Linked DNA regions of Tamandua tetradactyla. The protein of the gene in region 1 interacts with the protein of each later gene in a pairwise test. Links are inferred from orthologs where the notes say so. Each region holds a gene or a part of one and is shown in the gene's direction. Other genes may lie near its edges. The genes, in order: EFS, SH2D3C and SORBS2.

What was found.
Region 2: the proteins of EFS (region 1) and SH2D3C interact in a two-hybrid assay, tested with the Homo sapiens proteins (2 studies listed by BioGRID and IntAct). The two-hybrid records come from large-scale screens. The link is inferred for Tamandua tetradactyla from reciprocal best matches to the Homo sapiens genes EFS and SH2D3C.
Region 3: the proteins of EFS (region 1) and SORBS2 interact in binary tests that used the Homo sapiens proteins (3 or more experiments, as listed by UniProt). The two-hybrid records come from large-scale screens. The link is inferred for Tamandua tetradactyla from reciprocal best matches to the Homo sapiens genes EFS and SORBS2.

Annotation. Positions count from the first base shown.
Region 1 is NC_135340.1:31,523,359-31,531,045, forward strand, and holds the start of EFS (embryonal Fyn-associated substrate), read left to right. Parts: upstream 1-4,614; 5' UTR 4,615-5,267; exon of another isoform or gene 5,268-5,492; intron 5,493-5,913; 5' UTR 5,914-6,476; coding exon 6,477-6,494; intron 6,495-7,687. UniProt on the Homo sapiens protein: Docking protein which plays a central coordinating role for tyrosine-kinase-based signaling related to cell adhesion. May serve as an activator of SRC and a downstream effector. Interacts with the SH3 domain of FYN and with CRK, SRC, and YES.
Region 2 is NC_135328.1:50,623,091-50,630,669, reverse strand, and holds the start of SH2D3C (SH2 domain-containing protein 3C), read left to right. Parts: upstream 1-4,559; 5' UTR 4,560-4,670; coding exon of another isoform or gene 4,671-4,707; intron 4,708-5,482; 5' UTR 5,483-5,572; coding exon 5,573-5,642; intron 5,643-6,745; coding exon 6,746-7,220; intron 7,221-7,579. UniProt on the Homo sapiens protein: Acts as an adapter protein that mediates cell signaling pathways involved in cellular functions such as cell adhesion and migration, tissue organization, and the regulation of the immune response.
Region 3 is NC_135352.1:26,657,238-26,665,235, forward strand, and holds the start of SORBS2 (sorbin and SH3 domain-containing protein 2), read left to right. Parts: upstream 1-4,940; 5' UTR 4,941-5,276; intron 5,277-7,998. UniProt on the Homo sapiens protein: Adapter protein that plays a role in the assembling of signaling complexes, being a link between ABL kinases and actin cytoskeleton. Can form complex with ABL1 and CBL, thus promoting ubiquitination and degradation of ABL1.

The DNA of each region.
Region 1 (7,687 bases):
GAGAGCAGGGGCACTTAGGAAGAGCAGTGAGACCAGGAATATCAACAGCCTGCTCCCTTTGCCCCATCCCCTGTCCCCTGGGCTCCCAGTTATCCTCTCTTTGCCATGAACTGCTGGCCTCGGCTCTCATACACCTCCAAGTGCCAGGAGTGCCAAGCCCTGTACATGGATCATCTCATTAATCCTTACAATAAAGCCATGAGAAGGAAACTGTTAGCCCCATAGTGCAAATGAGGAAGCCGAGACCCAAAGAAATTCAGAAACCTCCCCAAGTTCACACAGTTAGGAAAAGACAGGGATGGTTTTTAGTTCCAGCCCTAATCAATCCCAAGTATAAGCTCCTGGCTTGGGAATGTCACACTGTGCTGCCCCATGGTTGGCTATGAATGGAAGGGGAGCCCCTGCAGCAAATGCTTTGCTACTCATCTGAACCTGCCCGAGGCCATCGGGCATTCCTGCCCCCTTAGGCGTTCAATCCTGGAAGCTGGGATTCCCTTCTCCAGCTTCCCGCTCCCCAGTGTCTGAGGTACGGTCCCCAGGGTGGCTTCTGGTATTCCTGAGCAGCCACCAACGCCAGAACAGACCTTAGGGGGCAGTGCTATTTCAGAAGAGCAGGAACCCAAACCAATCGGAAGCAGAATTGGAGCCTGACCTTGACCCAGATCTCCCAGTCTTGGCCTCCAGCTAGGAGAGGGTGCTCGAAAGAGCTGGAAGTGATCCTGGCTACTTATTTCACTTGCTGACAGTGCTAAAAGGACACAGACTGGGTTGCTGGGGACACTGCCCTTCAGAAGTAGCCTCTGGAGTGTCCCCCACCTCTGTACCAGGCCCTTCTTGAAGACCAGGCATGACCCCAGAACCTGTGCTCTGGGCCACATGTCCCTACCTCACCCCATTTGCTCAGCCTCTGCCCTTATCTCGATAGCAGCTTTGTGGGAAACCTGCCATGAGAAACATTTTCCAGAGGGTTTTCCTCCTGGGGTGACTGGTTTTGGAATTCCTGAGTCACTTCAAATTCCAGGGAATGCTTGGGGACGTAGGAGACAAAAGTGGCAGCGAGTAGAATGCTGGAGGCAGGTGCAAAGCAAAGTGTGCCAGCGTCTGACATCAAGGGTCCCCTCCCAGCATGTCCCCACCTACCTGGAACTGACTTGGCAGCAGAGAGGGCTTGCTAGTATTCCCAGCTCCACCGCCCTGAGGAAAGAGATCAGTGCCTAGCAGGAAAGGGCAGGGAGGACATGATGGAATATACCTCCCACCCTTGGCCTGGAAAAGGCTCTTGGAAATAATAGCCTTGCCCCTTCCCCAAAGGACACGCAATTCCTCATCTGCTGCCTTGATGCCCTGACTCTGCCTCTGACCAGCTCTTGGTGTTGGGCCCCATCTGGTCCTTCTTCTTCATCTGTAAAAGCATCGGGGGATGGGGGTGGAGGGTGGTTAGGGGAGAGGAGTGACCAGAAGGGCACAAAGGAGCCAACCAGCTGAGCTGCTGTGGACCTCAGCTCCTGAAATAATGCTGAAAGCCACAAGACTCAGCAGGCTCTATTGAGGCCCGTCTGTACCCATCTTATGTGAAACTTGGCACTGATTGCTAAAATGTTGAAATACTTTTGCACCTGTTGGTAAAAAGATGCTGGCCTCAGCCTCCTGGGACATCTCCTTGCCAAAACCTCCCTGTGATGCAATAACTAAAAGGTGAGCAACTGGTACAGCTTGCTCCTTGAACCTCATCCTGTTTGGTATGTGATCATGGTACTGGTTGCTAAATATTTTGAATGTCACCTTTGGCACCAAAGATGCTTAGGTTCAGGAACCTGCCTTCAAGGAGAACCCAGTTTGGCCTGGGAGATGACACAGATGGTCAGAGTGAACAGCACAAAGAGCCTGGCAATACCCTCTCCCCAGGCCAGGGCTGGTGCCTCACCAAGGAGGGCCCTGGGCTTACTCAGCTTTGCCCTACAGCCATGGCTGTTTTGTTCTTTAATCCATTCACCAAATATCTATGGAGTACTACTGCATGCCAGGCACTTTTCTAAATTCTAGGAATGCAGAGGAGGACAAGTCAGAGAAGGTCCCTGTCTTGTGTGGTTTTTGTTTTAGGAGGAGACAGATGATAAACAAGGAAACGAGATAATTTCTGGTAGTGGTAAGTGTTGAAATGGTGTTATGAGATAAAGGGTTACTGCAGTGGAAGTGCGGGAGGGGACAACTTTAACCTGGAAAGCCAGGGAAGACCTTTCTGAGGATATCAAGTTTGACATGATGATGGAAAGGGTCTGGGGAAAGAGTGTTCTAGGCAGAAGGAGCAGGATATGCATTCCTAGAGGTGATAAAGAGTTCAGTGTATTTGAGAACCAGAAAGGACAGTGTGGATGGAAAGTCAAGGGTAAGGGGGAGAATGGGATAGATGTGGTGGGAAGAGAGGGCAAGGACCAGATCACACAGGATCTTACAGGCTCTGGTGGAACATCTAGAGTCTATTCCAAGGTCACTGGAAAGGTATTGACTGAATTCAAGTATGACCTACATGACTTGAACTTCTCAAGGACAGGCAGCGTGTCCTTGACATTCTGTTACCCACACAGGGCTGGCATTAAATGATCATAATAGCTGCTTTTATCCAACACTTACATATCATAAGCCATGTACTATTCTCAGCGTTCAATACTAACTCCTAGTGCTCACAACAAGCTGATGTGATAAGTTCCATTATTATCCCCATTTTCCAGACACAATCCTGAAAGCTCCACATAACTTGCCAAGGTTACACAGTCAGAGTCGGAACCAGGATTAGAACCCAGGCAATCCAGGTGTTGTGGGGATCCAAAGAGAGAAGGACTGAAGAGGTTGGGAAAGAATTCCTGAGCACCGGAGAAGGTTTGGGTAGCAAGAGGAACAAAATCAGGTCCAGGAAGTCATGGGTGGGAGGTGAGAAAGAGACCAGTTAGTCAGACTTGACTGGGAAAGAGAATGAATGGAAGAGAAGACTGTGTCCCAGAAAGTCGGATGGAGGGGTTCCTTCCTTCCTAACCCATGCACGTGCCAAGGGCAGACCCCAAATCTGAAGGCCCAGCTGCCTGAGGCTGCAGCCCATCTACGGACTTAGCTACTCACCCAGCCTGGGTTTTCTCCAGTCATACCTAGAGTCCAGAGTTTTTTCTAAACGAGCTATTATCACCTTAACTTCTGCTTGTGAAGGAGAGGGCAGAGATGAGGCATGAAGGAGGGAAAAGGCTCCACCTGTCCTCACAAGGAAACACATTTTCAGCTACTATATAAGCACAAGTTAGAGGGGGGACCAAGGAGAAGAGGCAGAGACATGGAAGGAAATCACCGTGCTAGGCATTCTAGATATATTTTACTCCTTACCAGAGTCATTGCTACAGAGGGGGACTGTGTTGTTCTGTGACTTGATCGAGGTCACATAGCTTAGAAACTGGGATTCATATCCACGTCTGACTGTGGATATGAATCTGGCTCCATTCTGTGCCCAGGGGCTCGAGAAGTACAGTCTAATTTTCCTCCTGGTTTGTCCTCTGAGGATTCTCATCGATATTTCCCCAGGCACTGGGCTACATCACTGCCCATCTCCCAAGCCTCCAGTCTTGCCTGGTCCTAGCAGCTTCTCTCCCGCTTAGCCTTTCCTGGCTTCCATTTATTTCTCCTATTCCAGTCGGTGTGTTCGTCTTTGGGACCAGGCTTTCTTGCCCACCTGACCTTCGGGCCCAGTTTGCCTTGGCAGTCTCATGGGTAGGGACCACACCTAGTCCCTCTCCAGCAGAGGAATGTTCCAGGCAGCCCACTCCCCCTGGCACTAGCTCTGGAGGAGGTTGAAGAGCCTTCCCTTCCCTGTTGGCCACATCAGATCAGGGTGGTGCTGGGATGGGGGAGTGCTCCCTTCAAGGTGTAACTGGAAATTTAAAAGTTCTTATATCATCTTAAAAGAGTCTGGGTCTGTCCAGGATTCCCAGCCCCATACCCAGGTCTGCACCCCAACTCTAAGCCAAGCATAGACCTAACATCATCCATCCCCACGCTCACCCCAGAATCTGGTCCTCACAGGTGCCCAGGCAATAGGGTGGGGAAGGAGCTGAAGCAGGTATCTCCCCACCTCCTGGGAAATGCCTCCATGTATGGGCCTGTGAAACAGGTGGTGTGAGGGAAATATTCGTCCAAGACCTCAAGTTCACAAGAAGCCTTAAATTTACATTTCTGCTGTCATCTCCAAATGAGGTCATTCAGAGTCATTGTCCATTTTATGTGTTTTGCAGCGTTAATTTGTTAAATGTAAACACTGAAAATACACTATAGCTTTTAAACCTGTTTAGCATCTCCTTTTTCCAATACCAGGGGAGGAAAACTGGAAGCAGCAGTTTCCCTGAAGCCTCTGGGAGGTCTTCCTCTACCCAGGAGGAAGAACCCCAGAGGGAAGCGGCTGGCGGGAGGCAGGGCACATTGAGGAGTAACAGAGGGGAAGAAGGTGTGGGGGTTAAAAGAGCCGCGTCCTTTCAGCTGAAACTCCTGGAAGGCCAACTCCCAGCCCCTCTGAAAGAGTTCTGCCCTTCTTTGCCGACGGTCCCCACTCCCGCTCCTGGCGGCCCGGCGGAAGGAGGCAGGCCCAGACTGGCAGGGCTGCTTAAGAGGCTGCACAACCGGCCCGCCTGCCGCTCTGGGGCTCAGGCTTCTTCTCCTCTGGCCAGGGCCAGAATCCATGTCCAGCCTTAGACTCCCGGTGTGTTCCCCGCAGAAACGGCCGGAATAACCCTGCCACCCAGACAGAAGCAGCACCAAGGGAGGGGAGAGGCTCCGCTGAGGATCCCAGCAAGGCGGAAGGCGGGCGCTCTCCCTCCCTCGGGGAAAGACAGATGTGGGGCTAATGAAAGGGAGGCAGAGAGACGCGCGGGGCTGGCGGGGGAAGGCGGGGGCGTGGCGGGGAGAAAATAGCTTCTCGGAAGAAGCTGACCAGACCACCCGGAGGTCCGCGGCGAAGTCGGATGGAAGGAGGCACAGAGCAGAGGGGCCGGGAGGGGGCGTGCAGTTTGGCCCCAAGGTCCCGGGCTGAAACTCAACACCCGCCTTTGAAGGGATAGTCCTTTCTCCTCCGCCCCCTCCCTCCTCCTCCCTTTTCCCCTCCCTCCTTTCTCTTAATCCCCAGGACTGAGCCCAGCGCCGGAGGAGAAGGCCCGAGGGGAGGAGGAAGGACCGCTCGGAGAGGGAACCGGGAGCCCGGGGAGGGGAGGAAAGGGGAGCCGCGAGTGGGGTGGAGGGTGAGCCTGGGGACCACGCGCGACCCTCGGAGTCCTCCCACATCGCCTGCTTCGGGTTGGGGCCCTCTCAGTGAACCCACCCTCAGGGAGCCCACAGGACCCTGGCTCCTGCCTGTCCTTCGCTTTATCTTTGCGGCTTCTTTTGCTTTGTGGCCTTTCTCTTCATCCCTAAAGACACCTGGGGGCGGCCCCGCGCTCTGGGCGCGCCGAGGGGCTCTCCCAAAGGTGCGTGTGAGCGGGGCCGGCGGGCCGGCGGGCCGACGGTGGGAGCGCGAGCGCGTGGCCGTGCGCACTGGAGCCGAGGGGAGGAGGGGGCGCGGGCTTCTCTGCTGCCAGGACAGTAGGGTTGGTGAGGCCGAGCGGCCTCCGCGAGCCGTGCCTGCAAGCCGATTTCGGCAGGCCCCGCAGCCCCAGGCCAGGCGCCGTCGCGGCGTCCCCAAGGCCCTCGGACGTGCTGAGGGTGACAGTGCGTGCGTGAATGCGCCTCACTTCTGGGGGTGCGAGGGTCGGGGCCGACAGCAGCAACCCGGCCCAAGGGTCACGCTCTCGGAGGCCTTTGGCGTCAGCCCGGCCACTTTTCGCCAACTTGGGCAAATTTGAAGAAGGCCAAACAACTCAGCTCTCGCTTTCTCTCCTTCCCCTCCAGCCGCCCCGGCCACAGCCCTGGGAACACGGCTCTCCGGCGCGGCCCCCGGGTGGAGAGGGTTGGCGCCTAAACTTGCTCGCCCGGCCCAACCGCCCCGGCGGCCTCTCCCAGCCCTCGGGGCGGCCCCGAGCGGCCTGGGGAAGCGTCGAGCGCAGCTCCAGCACCCGCCTCCTCGCCTGCCCCGACTGTGGAAAGCAGCTATCGGTTCATGCGGGCCCCGGGGGCCTCCGCGGCCTAGGGCAGGCAGCTCCGGGGGCCCTGCCAACCCGGCGGCCCCCGGGAGGCCGCGGCGACCGTGCAGAGTGCTCGTCCTTGGATGAGGGCCCGTAGCGACGCCCCGGCCGGACCCGCTCCTCCTCCTGCCGGGCCAGACTGCCTCCCATTTGGGGAGTTTTGTGGGTTTTCTTTCTCCTCCTCCCACCTCGGCGGAGGCCACGACTCAGGCGCCGCATTCGGGACCCGCCTCCTCGCCTGGAGGCCGTGGACCATGGAGCCCGGCCGCGGCTGCTGAAGTCAGCGAAACCGAGCTTGGTCTGAAGCAGGAGGCGCGGGAGTTCGAGGCCATGGCCATAGCCACGTCGGTGAGTCCACCAGGGAAAAGAGGCTGTCGGGCAGGGCCTCCAGAGCCTCCTGTCACTTTTATTTCAGCCCTCCCTTTGTCTTTCTCTTTGGTCCCTTTCTTCTCAGAGAAGCTGTGTTCCCCTCCTCTCACTTTTGTTCCCCTCTCCCTCTACTTTTCATCCCCTGCTTCTCTCTCTGGCTCTGGGGCTGCCCCTCCTCCTCTTCTCCCTCTCCCCATTCTCTCTCTTTTTTTTTCCCCTAGAGGTTGCTTCGGGAGCGAGGGGCGGGGGCAAGAGTGACCAGAGTCCTGTCTGCTCTTTTTAGGGCGGGAACAGATGGCCACTTGTGGTTGTCAAGGGCTTGTGATTGGGACGCTAGTAAAAGGTTGGGAGGGGATGAGGTGGCTCAACGCAAACAGGAGAAACCAAAAGATCCAAGGCATCTCTTCTCTAGAGGAGGGGTGGAGTAAAGGGAGAAAGTAGAAAAAGAATGAGAAAGAGAAAATAGAGGGAGGGGGAGGTGATGTCAGCCAGCCTTAGGGCACTTTCCGGGGACTAGGGACAAAGGGAGGAGACAGCTGGCAAGATGGGAGAGTGGGAGGAAACCTTCCAGAGAGCACATGGCCCACTGCCACCTCCATTAAGCCAGCAATTCCCCCACCCGTCAGCTGGGCTCTTGAAGAGGGGATAGAGCAGGGTGGACCCCACCCATCATCAGTCAGTCTATCAGCAACTCTGGCCTGGGTTCCTGCAATCCCAAAGCCCAGAGGCTTGGCCCCATTGGACAGAATTCAAACCCAGCACGGGGAGGAGCACTCCACGAGCCCCACCTCTACTTTCTGCCCTTCACACTATGCAGCCTTAATCCAGGCAATTCTGTCCCCTCTCCACCCTTTCCTAGGCCCTGGGAAAGTGAGACTGCCACCATTTTTCTGGCCCTCTCTGCATAGGGACTCTGGGAAAGATTGTGAAACTGGAAAGAGAAGCATAGAATTATCATTCTTTGTAGTCCCCAAAAAACTTCCGTTTTTTTCCTTTTACCCCCGGGGTGGGTGAGGAGGGTTCATATGCTAATCAAATTCAAACTCACAGAACCCTAATGATCCTAAAATAGCTAATATGTATTGAGCTACAGCTGGTACTATGCTAAGCTTTGTCATGGGTTTTTCATACATTACCTCATCCAGTGCTTACAACTCTGTGAGCATAGTGGT
Region 2 (7,579 bases), on another chromosome or scaffold:
AAGTAACCTTTCTGCCTACAGGAGGCCTGCAGGGCGGCTTCATAGGTTTTACCCCTCACTGCCTGGCCTTGAGGCCTTCTCATGAGAAAAGGCAGGAACGGGTTTGGTGATCGTGGTGTCCCAAGAGGCCTGTTCTGCGCAGATCCCTGCCAGGGAGAGCCTTGAGAGTCAGGCTGAGGAGCCGGGTGTCCTCTCCTGAGGGTAACGTGGAGCTGGTGAGAATTTTTGATAAGAAGTGAGCTGGGGTCAGCTTCTTGGGCACACTGTTAGAAGCAGGGAGACCCTTGGCCAAATCAGGTGCAAGAGGGCAGAGAGGAAGATAATAGTTATAGTAATTACCATTTATTGAGGAAAAATAAATGTGCTAAGCCCTATACTTAAGGGAATTATCTCAATTCTCCCTGAATCTTATGAGGTACCTACTATTATCCAGCCTGGTGTACACATAAGGACACTGAGACTCAGAGGTGATGTCACCTGGCCAGGGTCAAATAGCTGGCCAGTGGCCTAGCTGGCATTTGAGCCAGGTTGGCATAAAGCCAAGCTCTTGCCCATGTCATGGTCTGCCCTTCTGGGCTGGGGGCAGAACTAGGGATGTGGACTGGATGCTGGATGGGAGGTGTGTGAGGACATAGTAGCAATACTATGAGGTCTGTCATGGGTCTATGTGGCCTCCACCATCAGGCCCTCAGGCTGGGACCTGCTGTCTCTTTCACACGAGCAATCCCATAAGTCACATCCTGTGGGCAGAAGCCTCAGCAGAGGTTCCGGTGGTGTTGTCACCTCTACTCCACCATCTGTGACCTGAACTTTCACATCTGCCAGTCACTTCCCTCAGGCTGTGGGCCCTGCCTGGAGAAGGAAGGCAGGCAGGGCATTGGGAGCCCTTCAGAAGGCTGCCCGGGCTTGGGGCCAGACATCACCAGAGCTGCCAAAACCCAAGTGAAGGTGAGAAGAAATTAGCAAGAAACAATTTCTAGACTTTGATTTCAATTTTGCTGGTCTGAGGAAAGTGTTTCCTGTATCCCAGGTATTCACTAAGCAGGCAAAGTGGGGCACGTGACTGGTAGTCAGTAAATGTCTGCTGAGTGACTGTCTGATCAGGCCCTGGGAACTCTGGTCCTGCTACCCATTTTATAGTTAGGGAAACTGACACATTAAGCAGGAAGAGAGTCACTGCTCAGCTGTTTGACCCTAGCCTGAACCCTTTTCCCACCCCTGAGCAGGGATGGGTAATGGGCATGTGGAGGGGAAGGAGAAGACAGATTCTTTGGGTAGGTTGCTCTTTGCATCTGGCACATCCAGAAAGACAAAGGATCTCTGGGGAGGGGGATAGAGGAGAGAAAACATCTGTGTGATGCCCACGGTCTTGTCAAACCATGGAAGTTTTGCCCTTACTGGCTGGGAACTAACTCTGCCTGGCCCTGTATTGACAGGCATCACCCTCCTGAAACTTTATAGCACCCCTCTTAGGAGGTATGATAATCAAGGCCAGGTTATATAAGAAGAAACAGGCTCAGAGATGTGAAATGACCTGCCCAAGGACACACAGCTAGGAAGCAATTGAGCTGGAATCCAAAGCCAGATGTCTTTTCTCTCAAAGCCTAGAGTGATTAACCATCATCCTACATTGCCCCCATTACCAGTCAATGGGGTCAACCCAGGGAAAAGCATCTATTGAGCACCTACAGTTTAGCAGGCATGGGGCCAATAAGTATGGGTAAGACCCATTCCTCTCTCAGGGAGCTTAAGGTCTGTTTGGAACATGCAAATAAAGACACACGTGGATGTAATAAGGATGATGATCTTGGTATAAATGTTTTATTTCACGGTCATACGAGAAACATCATATTTGCTCCATTTTAATGATGGGAAAAAGTGGCTCAGAACGGTGACATAACTTGCCCAAGGTCACCAAGGTGGGGACTGAACTTAGGTTTGCCTCAGTCCAGTACCTTTGATTATAACATTTAAGGCCTCCAATCCCTAATTGTCCCTGGCCAAGCTACAGGCTATTGGGTCATAGACTGGGGAAGAGGTGGCAGGAGTGAGGGACAGGAACCAGAGCAGGTTCTTGGGGGCACTGTAGCTAAAGATGGCCTTAGAGGTACTGGAAGGAGGCAAAAGATTGAACCAGTGGCAACAAGAGCAGCATTCGGGTGGGGCTTCCAGCCTAAGCAAAAGCCTGCAGGCGGGAAAGCTGCAGAGTGTGGGCTGGGCCGGGCTGGCCTCCAGCACAGGCTGAGAAGAGCCTGTGGGACAACCACCCGCCAGCAGGTCCCCAGCCGTGCTCCCAACGGCCACTCAAGGCAGTACAAAGAGGGGTCTGAGCTCGGCAGAGCTGCCACACTGAGCCCCATTCATCCTCCTAGAGATGTCGGCCACTGCCCTGGTGCCTGGGCCAACGGCAGGCCCAGACCCAGCACTGACAAGGCGCCTCTGCCACAGCAACGAGCCCCAGCCAGCCCCACAGCCTCCCAGTGGCCAGGACTCCTGGGTCTCACACCATGCATCTGCTGCCAGGGTTTTCCTGGCCTATGCCAGCCAGTCCCTTGTCGGAATTCTCGCATCCCTCAGCAACAACAGCCAGTCCTTGCCAAGGCCTGTGGCATGCTGGCCTTGAATGCTCCTAAGAACCCCAGGAGATGGGCCCTATAGAGGCCCCATTTCACAGATGAGGAAACTGAGAGCCAGAGAGGTAAAGTCTCCTGTGCAGGATCACACAGCAAGCCAGACTGGTTGATGGTACAGCTCCGACAGTTACTCCAAGTTACGCTAGAGTTGCCTCTGGGAAGAGTAGCTGAGAGATTTTACCTTTTATCTTCTGCTAGGAAGACCCTCGGCTCTGGTCAGGCTACTGGACCTTCTGAACAACCACCCAGATATGGGAGGGGCATTGGCCTGAGTGTCTGTACCGGGAGGCAGATGCCAGGGTCTACTTCACAAGCCTGTTGTGTGGATTTAAATGGATGATTATGGAGGCTTCCAACCACGTACCTGGCATACTCAGCACTCAGCAGAAGCAGCTGGGGTTGCACCACTCTTCTCCCAAACCCATGGCCCAGAAACCCTGTCCTTTCCAGTGGACCTTGACAGCTAGTCAGTTGACCAGGACCCTGCTGCCTTGGTCTCTGGGGCTGCATCCCTTTCCCTCTCAGGGCCTCGGGTTCCCATTCACACCATCAAGAAGATTCAGCCAGCCCCTCCTCCCACCAAAGCCAGTCGTCCAACTGCGGGTGGGGGCGGGGGCGACCATGGACGTGGCAGCTAGGAGCGCTACAGCCTCACCACTCAGGGGCTGTGGGAGTGTGGACAAGTGACGTGATTTTTCAGGGCTTAAGTTTCCACATCTGCAGAATGGGGACAATAGCAATAACATACACCTCTTAGGGCAGAAGAACTGAGCCCGGTGACCGGATTGTAGTAAGTGATGAGACATGAGTTGTCATTATGTTTATGAAGGATGGGGGAATCAGTCCCCTCTGACCTCAGATTCCCTCCTCCTCTCACAGTTCCAGTTGCCAGCCTGGGTGCCGGCGTAATAATGTAAAACAACGCCGGCGCCTCTGTGGGTTCACTGCATGCCATGCATTTGTCCCCATTCTAGACATTTGGTGACCAAGGCTTGAGAGGCAGAAATAACTTGTCAGCAGCACACAGAGCTGAGCTTTGAAGCCCCTGGTCTTGCTGCCCGCAAACCCTGGCAGCTACTGATCATCTCTGCAGGTCTCAGGAACAACCTGTGGAAGGGGAGGATGCATTTCCTTATCTCTGCCCTGCCCACGTGAGCCTGCCCATATACACAACAGAAGGTTGTAGGGTGTGAAAAGCACCAGGCTCTGAGTTAAGGGACCTGGAAGGATGAGTTATAACCCAACCTGTGCCAGGCCAGGCAATCCCTCCGCCTGCCTGTGTCTCTGTTTCTCCATCTCTGTATAATGGGCATTGTGAAGCAATATTCACAATGTCCTTGCTAGCTTGAAAACAAGTAACCATACCTTGTTGGGCATCAATTCTGTGCCAGGCTCTGCACCGAGCACTGGACCTTTGAGGGGCACTACAAGCCCCCCCCCCTGCCCCTTACAGAGAGGAACCTGAGTCCCCCGGGAGGTAAGTTCCCAGTACCAGATCACACACTGTGGCCAGCCAAGAGTGGAACTTGGGTCTTAGCGGTCCCAGAGCTCACAGGCCTAACTACAGCACTCTCCTACCTACTGGGTACAGTACATCCCTGAGGCACTGAAGTGGACACCCAGACCTGACTCCCCCGTGCCCTCATACCACCACCAGACCCCCTGACAGCTGTTGGAAGCCCCCCACCCCCACCCCCAGCGGCCCTGGGCCCACTGGGCTCTGTTCCCAGAGCCTGTGGTTTTGTTCCCCAGACCTTCCAGGTCCCATGGGTTTGTACTCTCCCCCCTGCCCCCACTATGAGGCCAAGAGGCAGCCCACAGGGGCCAGGACTGGGGGAGGCCGCCGCCCCCGCCCCTTGTGGAGAGGGTGGGGAGGGTGGGGCTGTGGGAGTTTCACTGGTTTAAAAATACACAGAGGAAGCGAGTGAGAGGACTCGAGAAAGGGGAAGGGGAGGTAGGGAGGCACTTCAATATTAATGTACAGAGCCTGGAGTGGCCACTCACCGGCTGGCTGGGGATTCTGTACCGCTCACCAAGATGACGGAGGGGCCCAAGAAAGCCAGCAGAAAGTTCAGTGAGTGTGGGGTTGCCGCTCGGGCTGCCTTCCATCTCTCTGTCTGTCCATCTCCGTCTCTGTCTCTGCTGTTTTTTTTTTTTTGCTCACTGTCTTGTTTTTGTTTCTCTTTCTTCATGCACCCCTGTCTCTCTCCAGAGGTCTCTGCTTCTGAGTCCCTGTGTCACCCAGCACCTCTCTCTCTTTCTGCCCCCAGCCAATTGGCTCCCCATCTCTGTGCTTCTCCCTTTGTCCATCTCTGTTTCTCTGTTTCACATCACCCTGCTGCTCTGTCCCCCTATTTGTCTGTATCTCTGTCTGTCTCTGGCTTTCTGACCTCATGACTGGGCGAGGGGAGACCCCCATGCCCCTCCCCTAGGCCTGGGTCTGTGTGGGATCTCAGGACTGCAGTTACTGGGTGGGGGTGTATCATGGGATGCTGCCCCATGCTCCCAGCAGCAGTAAGGCTGGAGCCCAGCACTCTGGCAGGGTAAGAGCCCACAGCTACTAGAACCAGGCTCCTGGGCGAGGGGCCAGACCTGCTTCCCCTGCTTCTCTAGGTTGGTCCCATTGTGCAGTCACGCCTCTGATTCCTATGATCTGACAGCATCAGGGCGGGAGGTGGAGAAGCGGTGTACAGGGCAAGGGCTATGGCTCCGTTCCACAGATGGGAGTAATGAGGCCCAAAGAGGACCCTAGACTAGCCCAAGATCATACAGGACCATAGAGCAGACTGAATCCTGGACCCTGGACCCTGAGACTTAGTTTCACTTCCTGTCCCGACTATTGTCCCCAGAAACTTAGTGGCCAAGAGACAAAGCAAGTGGTGCTGAGGGAAGAGGCGGTTGATGGTCCTTCTCCTGGCCATTGGCACAATTTCTGCCCCATGGTACAGCTGAGCGCAGGGCGTCAGAATCTCCTAACAGCATTTCTCAAGAGGCAGAGGCTAAGACCAGGTAGGTGGCTGGCAGGGCAGTGAGGGAAGCCCGGGAGCACTAGCCCAGGAGTCCAGAACCCTGGCTTCTAGTGTAGGCTCAGCCAATGCCTTGCTGTGTGACCCTGAGCAAGTCCCTTTCGGTCTCTGGGCCTCAGTTTCCTGGGGGCATCCTACCTATATCTCAAGATGGTTGTGAGGACATGAGGAGGCAAAGGATTCTGAGGAAGTAGAAAACGCCAGGGTTTTCCTCCTCGTTCATGTGGGTGATAGAGTAGTCTGATGGTGGTGGCTGCCAGAAGGGACAGTCCAGTAGTTGGGGGCAGGGAGAAAGGAACTCACACACACACCCCTGCGGAAGTGAGGAGATGGTATCACCCGAGCACTGCAGCCTGAGTCAGGAATGTGGGCTCAGCTGACAGGAAGGAGAAAACCACAGACAGTGAGACCCTCAGGTTCCTGACACCTCCTTCTCATTTCATCCCCACCCCAGGTACATGAAGGATGGCTCAATCCCCATCCCCACCCCATACCAGCTGTCTGACTTCGGGAAGTTAATTTCAGTGCTCTGAACTTGTCTCCTCATCTGAAAAATGGGGAATTGAACTTGTGTTTGTCATTGAGTTGTGCTGAGAATTCAATGGGATAAAGCTTGCAGCATACTTGACAAATGTAGAGGCATTCATCATAATATTCATAATAATTAGCACCATCATCATCATCACAAGTTGATACTTTGCTACTTCTTATTAAGGCTATTTTGCATGCCAGGCATCCTGCTAAGCATATTATTTACATACTTTCCTTCAATCCCCTCACTGCCTGTAGAAGATAGGTACTATAATTCCTGTTTTACTGAGCTGGAGAATGTAGCTCAGAGAGGTCAAGTGACTTGCCTAGATCACACAGCTAGGATGTGGTAGAGCAGGGCCTCCAGCCCAGGGGGCTTTGTGACCACAAAGCCACCATGTTTTATCACTTTCTGGGAGTGTGATAACAATTGGAGAGGGTGTTATGAAGCCCCCAACTCTCCTTGGGCCTTTAGTGAGTGGAACTGCAGGTATTTTTAAAATTATTATTGCTGTTGGCATTCACTCCATTCTCCCCCACCCCCCACCCCACCAGAGTTCTTCAAGTTCAAGGGCCTCGGGAGTCTCTCCAACCTCCCTCGGACCTTCACTCTGCGACGGTCCTCAGCCCCTGTCAGCATCCGGTCCCGTCTGGAGCCTGACACCTTCGAGGCCACGCAGGATGACATGGTGACAGTCCCCAAGAGCCCCCCAGCCTATGCCCGCTCCAGCGACATGTACAGCCACATGGGCACCATGCCCCGCTCCAGCACCAAGAGGGCTCGGGACCGACAGGCCAGCCAGGAGGCTCAGGAGATGGACCCTGAGTCCCATGTAGTGCCCCGACGCCTGCCTGATCCCCCAGGCTTGGAAGCAACCAAGGAGGTGGTAGAGGCCAACGCCCCCCTGAAGGACACCCCAGCAGCGGGGTCCAACCCTTCAGCTGTGGAGGTGGACCCCATAAGAAAGCCTGAGGTCCCCAGGGCAGACTTGGAAGAAGAGAGACCTCCCAAGGATATGCCCCCAGAGAGGTAGGTGTCTACCAAGGGCAGGTGAGTGCAGCACCTGCTGAAACAGTAACTCCAGCCTCCTGCCAGTATAGCCCCAGGGAGGGCCCCCTTCCCACCCACAATCCTGCACACTACCCAAATGCTTACCATGGACCAGCTGCTGTGCTAAATCTTTCACTTGCAATTAATTCTCAAAAATCTCAGTGAGGTAATACTATTATTATCTCCATAGCGAGATGAGGAAACTGAGACTCCAGAAAGGAAAGTCATCTGTCCCAGGCTGCACTTGAACTGAAGCCCAGGTAGCATTTGAACTGAAGCCCACCTGACCCCAAAGCCCTAGACGGCCCCCAGCCTGGGTCCTTAGTTGCTCTTTGGGC
Region 3 (7,998 bases), on another chromosome or scaffold:
TAAAAAACTGAGGAGTCAAGTGGCAAATTAACAAGGTTATGCAGAGGAGCTACTAAACAAAGCTGGTGAGCTCACTTATTTAGGGTGGGACTAATGCATAATGGAAAATAACAGAAGGTCTCTTGCCTTGACAATACAGGACGTCCATGAGCCAACCACCTTGTTATTTGGATCAAGAAGATCTTCTCGTGTGATGAAAATACCAGAGGGTTAAGGTCTTTTTTAACCATATTTTAATTAGACCAATGCTTAGCTCAAAACAGTTTCAGTTGTTGTTGTGTACAACTGAAGAAGAGAAGTGTACAACTAAACTGGCTTTCAACATTTCCATCCATCTTTTCCTTCTTCATCTCTGTCTGAAGGATCATCCCTGCTCTAGATGGTTCTTATGGAAAGCTTAAGAAACTCAGGAAATTTAGGACGAAGTTAACATGGTGGCTGGTCTCACCGTTAACTTGGACCAGACTCTGTCTGATTCCTTGGAACCTGTGTCTCTGCTCAGATAATTTACCTAACGTTCTGGATCCTCTGGTGCCAAGACTATGCTCTGCTTTAGCCAACCTTCCCTGAAACTCCAGACCTGGAGCAGCTGGGGACCTACTGGCAGACCTCAAACGACCTTTAGTGTCTGCTACCACGCACGTCCTGCTGGCTACAATGCCCATTCATCGCCCCTTGCGGGTTTCCACCATCTCCACCGCCGGCACCTGTCCTGCCCTCCCAGCACCTGACAAACCCCAAGCGTCTGACCCTCACTAGAAGGAGTGTGTCTGGTTTCCAGACCCTGTTTCTTCTGTATCGGTTCTGCCTCACTGCCATCAAACTGTCAGCTCTTGCTTTTATCTTAGAATCACCTGGGGAAACTTTTAAATATGCAAATGCTTGGATCTCCTCCAGATCTATTAAATCAAAATCTCCATGGGTAGGCCCAACGTACTGGTCTTTTTTGTTCTCCAGATGATTCTCTTACGTACCAGAGTTGAAAGATGCTGGTTTCCGTTTCTCCAAAATTGTCATGTGCAGACGCATAGCCTGGGAGTCTTGTTAAAATGCAGCTACTGATTCATTAGGTCCAGGTGGGGCCTCAGGATTCTGCATTTCTAACAGGACCCCAGGTGCCATTAATGTTGCTCTGTGAAACACTTAAGCCTTAAGCAACAAGGCTTAAGACTAATGGTTCTCCAAGTGTGCTCAAGCATCTCCTGGGAACTTGCTAGAAATGCACATTTTCAAGCCACTCAAGTCTCCAGACCTACTGAATCAGAAACCCAGGAGGTGGGACCCAGCAACCTGTGCTTCTACAGACCTCCAGGTCACTCCGATGTCACTAAGGTTGCAGAGTCTTTGGCTTACATAGCTGCCCAAAAGAAATGTAACGCAAACCATACACATGTATTTACATCTTCTAGTAGTGCCATTTAAAAGAAATGAGTGGTATTAAATTTTTTAACATTACTCCTCATAAAATATTTTAACTCAGAATGTCCAAAGTATTATTATTTCAACAGGTAGTTAATCTTTAAAAATTAATGTGGGGCGGTGCAATGGTGGCTCAGTGGCAAAATTCTTGCCTGCCAAGCCGGAGACCTGGGTTCGATTCCCGGAGCCTGCCCATGCAAAAAAAAAAAAAATTAATGTGATTATTCACGTTTCCTTTTCCATACTGTCTTCAAAATTCATTGTGCGTATTATTACACTTACGTGCCTCTATGTTCTGACTAGGCACATTGTTAAATGCTCAACACACAGATAGCCACGTATTGGCCAGCAGAGTTCTAGACTTACAATAGTGATAAAAATTCAAATTTATCCAGTGCTTGTATGTGGCAGGCATTACTCAGCTAGGCATTTTACATGCATGGTTTAAGCCCCACTGCAACCTTATTATTATCCCCATCTTCTATGGGGGTGGGGTTGTGCCAAAGCCATATTTCCAATCTGTCAGTAATATTAGAAACCCACTCCAATATCAGCATTTTGGGAGGATCATGTGGTAGCCCATGGTGGACTCTTGGATCTGTCCTGTGGCTGCATGTTGAGGAGTGCTTTGAAAACTGCTACTTTATAACTGCACCAAGGTTCTCGTGTGGCACACTCGGACAGAGAAGGTTAATTTAGCCAATAAGCCAAAATACCAACTGGACACAGTAAAGATTGAGGTATAAATTGAAGCAGCAACTGGTGCAGTTTGCCTGGTCAACAGATATGGAAGAGATGTGTGGAGTTTAGACTACAAAACATTCAGGTATTGCTCATTTTACTTCAGTACAACAGCCTATATTCTCATCTGATGGACATTTGTGCAAACAGCTTGTCATTTAACATAAGCTAGATGAATGGTATAAAATGTGCTTTGTCTTCATTTGTTTTGCATGTTTTCCCACAATCAAACTGGAAGATCTTTGTATAATATAGCTCAATGACAATGCAGGGTACAGTATTGCAAATCTTACATATATTTCCTGCCCTCTGCACCATTTGGCTTTGTGACTGATAGAACAGAATGGGTTTTGAAAATAGATGGCAGGTATTTTGTTAATTAAATGTTCCCAATTCCTGACCTTGAAAAAAAAAAACTGTTGCTTTTTTGTTTCTTTGCTTTCTATATATATTGTACTATACGAGAGAAAAAGTTAAAAATCAATAAATAAATGAAAATTTTAAAATATGTATATCAGCATTTCCTAATTAATTTGAATCAATTTATTTGTTTTTAATAAAAAGAATATTAACAAAATCATTACCATGAGTTACAATTATTAAGATATCAATAGCTTATAAGATAAGAAGTTACAGGAATTGGGAAAGTAGCAAGAGTCAAAATTTAGTGTCCTTTAATTTTCTAAAGTCCAACCTGCACCCTTCAGTGACATCTGTTGAAAGGGGCTTATTTACAGGCTGCCTGGACAGTCTGGGATCCTAAGGGAACAAAGGAGACCTCAGTGAGTCACCCGGCAGGAGAGGATTCCTCCTAAGTGAACACAAATGTCAGGCTTATAACCTGTCCTTGCAAGTGCAGACTTTGACAGACTATGATTTAAAAAGGTAATGTGAGGCAAATGGGCTTCCCTTTAGGAATGATGTGAGAAGCTGGCAGTTAAGAATTTAAAAATAATGGTTGACTTAGTAATCAAATAGTTAATCTTTGTTTAGTTAACTAGTTTCTTAAGGAAGGCCAAGTTTAAAGTGTGTTTCCTTCTTATTATAAATTATTCTAAGGAGGTGAAAATAAAAACAATTTTTTCTCTATCTGATGCTTGACTTTTCCAATTTTTGCCAGCAGTATTACCATTTAACATTGTGGTCAAGTAAAATAAATATCAGATTTTAAACTGGCAGGTATTTAAGAAATTAAAATGCAACTATTAAAAGCAAGTGAACAGGGCAGGCCACGGTGGCTCAGCAGGCAGAGTTGTCTCCTGCCATGCTGGAGAGCTGGGTTCGATTTCCGGTGCCTGCCCATGTTAAAAAAAAAAAAAGGAAAGAAAGGTAAATGAACAGACTATTGCATAATACTACAGTGACTTTTTAAAAAATAAGCATTTTTTTTTAGGTAAAGCAGATTTACTTTAAAATTTGATTGGGTATTTCAAAGTTACGCTATCGTTTTATATATATATATATATTTAAATAGCTGCATGGTTTTAATATAAGGTGTATTGGGTTGAAAGATTTCACTATTTTACTACAGTACTTGAAATAGTCATGTAACCCTTTTACATGTCATGTGTAATCCTCAATATTTTCTATATTCAACTCCAGTATCTTTCTGAAATTGCAAGGAAGAAAGTAGAGTCAATATGAGCATCCAGTAACTAGCCTCCATAATAATGATTATAAAATATTTCAAGGCAGTTTTTATATTGGATTTAGATTAGAGAATGTTTCACTTCCTCAGCCATGCTTTGAACTGCCTTAAACATCATCCTCTTGTTATGAGGATTAGGGAATTGAAATGATTCAGAGATTTTTATCTGCATGGAATAAATGCCTTTATCAAAAATATTAAGTGATTCTTTGGTAGGAAATAACTAATTTTCCTTCTTAGTGGTGTTCTCAAAGGCATAATGAAGTCATGGAAGGTAGGAATCGCTCTGATGACACATCGGATCTTCCTGTACAAGGGTTTGAATAGTCTCATCTTGTGAACATGAGGTTGCGAAAGTTTGTCAAAAAAAAAGGAAACCCTGTTTTTCATTTTTTATTCTTGTTGTGTTTGTGTGCTGTAAACCTCCAGAGGCAAAAAAAAAAAAGCTGTTTGCTCACTATTGTATTTTCAAAATGCCTGGCTTATAATAAGGACAGCCGTGCCCACCACATAAATATTTGCTGGATGAATGAATGAATGCATTCAACTTCTGGATCTTTATTTTTTCATTCTAAAAACAAAATTAAAGCTCAGAGTTTTCTGGCCAGAGTTGGTGACCCAATCTAAATTAGTTCTTCATTGGCCTTTGGAGGCAGACTGGAGATCAGTTCTGTCAGCATCGTGTCACAGAGTGGTCCCCAGCCTCTGCCAGCACGATAAGAAATGTCAACAGCTTAACCTAGTAGCTTTCAAAAATAGCGTAGTTGATGAAACTGGAGATTTAGCTGAGTGCTAGAAATAAACCATTTGTCTTCAGTCTTAAGAAGAACAGGCTGACAATGGCCATTCCAACCAGAGAGACTTAAAATGTTTTTAAAACCCATATAAACAAGCAAATACATATCAGAAGAAAGGTCTTCACTCTCAATAAGGTATAACTATAGCATCTTCTTTTCCATGAATCAGGTAAATCATTTTTGCAAAACTTGGCATTATGGCAAGGAGCTGTGTTTCTTTAAGATTCCGGTAAAGTTTTTTTTTCTTTTTTTCCCAATAGTGCTGGCACTTTTCCTCAAAATTTAAATGAATATTTGCACAATGAACCAAGTTGTTGTGGGTTTCCTGGTTTGTACCTCCCCGCTCCAGGGGGTTGGGGTGGGTGGAGAGGCTATTGGGCCGGCACCGCATTTTCATCCCTTCACAGACAAGTCCGGCTGCTGTTAATGCTGAAAATAGCTTAAATGCTCTCGGAACAGTAGCACCACCCAGCAGCTGGGATTCTCTCCCCCTCTTATTTGCCTTCTCTCTTGCCTTTTTTTCCCTTCAGACACTTGGATCGGACTTAATCTTAAACCTTTGGAGTTCAAGACCTTTTAAAAAGGGCTAAATAAACAATCTCTACATGTAAAAGGCCAGTGACTCCTACTTCCTCTGTTGAGAGCAACTGTTCAGCTCCAGCTGCTTGTAGGTAAGAGTTTTATGCTGGAATTCTTTCATTGGTTTATGGTATATTTGTGACACATGTTTTTAAATAACTTATTTAGGCTGAAAATAAGCCCGGGGCTGCCATCGATTTCCAGGTGAACACTGTATGCCTGAATATAGGAACAGCATCTGTGGACTTTTGTAGCTGTAACTAAACTTTGCTTAAAGTTTTTCATGATATTGACCTGCCATGCAGACGTGACTGTGACCCAGCAAAGGATCAAAACTCTAATGACACCTGAGTGCCAGGGTAGTAAGAGGGCTTTTCAGACATCGTTTTGTTGTTTAGGCTGCTTACTGATTTTTAATGTTCTAAAGGCATTTGAAAAAATAAAAACATACAACCACCTGAGTAAAGGAAATATAGGAGTGATTGTTCTCTCAGGACCAGATAGCTGTATTATATTTTGTTCTCTTTTATCGTCACTGTTGTGTGAATTGCTATTTTGGAATTAGAGCACTTTCTGTTTGGTATATGCCTAGCATAATTTAGGTGTCTCTGTTTTAAGAATTCCTTATCTAAGCTGCATTTCTTTTGCCAGTTAGGTTCGCAGGCAGGTTTCTCTAATGTGACAATATGACATTTTCCAACGTTTTCTGTGCCTCCTCTTTCCCCTTCATTACACTTGTGCTTTGACATTTTGCGAAGGACTTTGATCTGTGGACTTTAACTTCAAACACAGCATTTACTTTGATTGTGGGTATTTACTATGTTCAGTAAAAAAGTCTTTTTATTTAGTGGGGAGGAGGTTAGTGCTTTGATAGTATTTCCTTTAAATTATTTGTTGGGGTTTTGGTTTTCCTCACTGCTTACTGATACAACTTTAAGTTTTACTGATAGTTGCCCCCAGATGAAAGGGAAAATACTGTTTTATGGCAAGATGATTCTCTTGCCAAAGAGACTTTAAAACAACTCACTGCTCCACACCAAACAGATGTCTAAAAGCAGGCAGCAAATGACAGTGCACAGAATGAGATTTTATCAACCCTTCATTTGAATGTTCTGCTACCCCCAAATTACTGTGTGCCTTGAGGCCTAACTGTTGCATATTCTAACATGAACACTGAAACCCTTGGAATTCAAAGACTTTCTCTCCGAAAAAATTTGTTGGTCTCACAGACCACATGTCAAAAGAAAACATGCATTTAAAATAAACAGCGATCTCTGGGGTGACAAAAAGAAAGGAAAAGAGAGAGAAAAGAAAATTAAATTTTAAAAAAAGGACAACTAAAGAGAAAAACTCATACAACTGGTGGAACGTCTGTTGTATGAGGGTAAGGGGATGGAAAAACAAAAGTATTTCCTAAAATAGCAAAATGTAATACCATCTAGGCATTCTGTCGATGTTTAAATGTCCTCTTCATTTCAAAGAAAATTCATGTATATACTGCATTTAAGTTTTTTGCCTTTTCTTCCCTATCCCAAGCACAGAGTATTTCTAAAGCCCTCAGTCAGATACCAAGGTTGATATTCCTTGGCCAACTGTCCCTGCATGTTGAGTTGAGGGTTAGGAATAGAATGAACTTAATCCCATCAGGAGACTTTTTAAGCACTAGTCAAGGGCTGTGGCTCCCTAAAGGCTGAGACCGCCTTGCTAGGAAGGAAAGAAGCAAGTGGCAGCAGGACAATTTTCAAAAGGGCAGAGCAATGGAAAACACTTGGAGAGCTCCTCCAGATTAGGAGAAGATGCGACTTCATCTGTAAGGATTCCGATTAAGAGTAAGAAAACCTAGAGCTATTCAGGCTAATAGTTTATTCCCAACATTGGCCATTTAATTACTACTTTTTCCCCTTCAAATCCACATTAAAAGGAGCATATGAATCATCCTATTTCTGTGTGCAGTCATCATTTCATATCCTCCAGCTATTTTAAGCATGTTTCTTAATGTTCCCAAGCCTTTGGGAATCTCCAAGAGTTCCCCCGCGCCCCAACCCCACCCTACTGTAGTACTGGGAATTCCTCCTCTGGCAAGTGCTTGGGGCACATGTGTTGCTGAAAGGTAATGCAAATTCAGTTGCAGAGTCAGGTGGCACTAGGGTGGAATCGGTTTGGAAGATGGTAGATGGCCATTTCTTTCCTGTCCACTCCCACCCCCCCATTTCTTTTCATCCCTTAATTTTACCTTGAAACTTTGGATTGTTTGAATGTGAAACTCAAGGTGAAACCTAACGAAAGCCACCGGGTTTCACACAGCCTCCCTATGAAAGAAGTATTCTGCCCGCCCTTGCCCGAAACTTGGCCCGTGTTTGCCAAAAGTTTCATGAATGTCAGTGAGCCCGGATTTGAAACCTAATCCAAAGCCAGGTGACTTCTGGAGACTTTGAGACTTTATTGTATAGGCATAGAGTCTGTCCAACAAGGGCAGTCCCTTTTTGCAAGTATTCTACTGCAACTTAACGTACCCACGTTTTTTTTGGACACACTCCCACTTGTTCTATGCTACCTAAAAGCCAGTTTCAAGCCTAATATGAATGTTTATAGCCTTGGCATTTAAGCATGGGCAAATAGAAGTCTGCATTTTAAATTCCAACACAGCTGAACCACAGCAGCGTGAACATGTTGGTATAATTCAGCTGAAGGAAGGAAGTCTCAGGAGAGTGCTGGAATGTCTTTCTTTGCTTAAATATACCCCGGTGCTCGTGAAGAACAAACAGTAACATTTTGTCCAGGTCTGTCCGCTTGACAGTATGCCTTTTGTTTGTT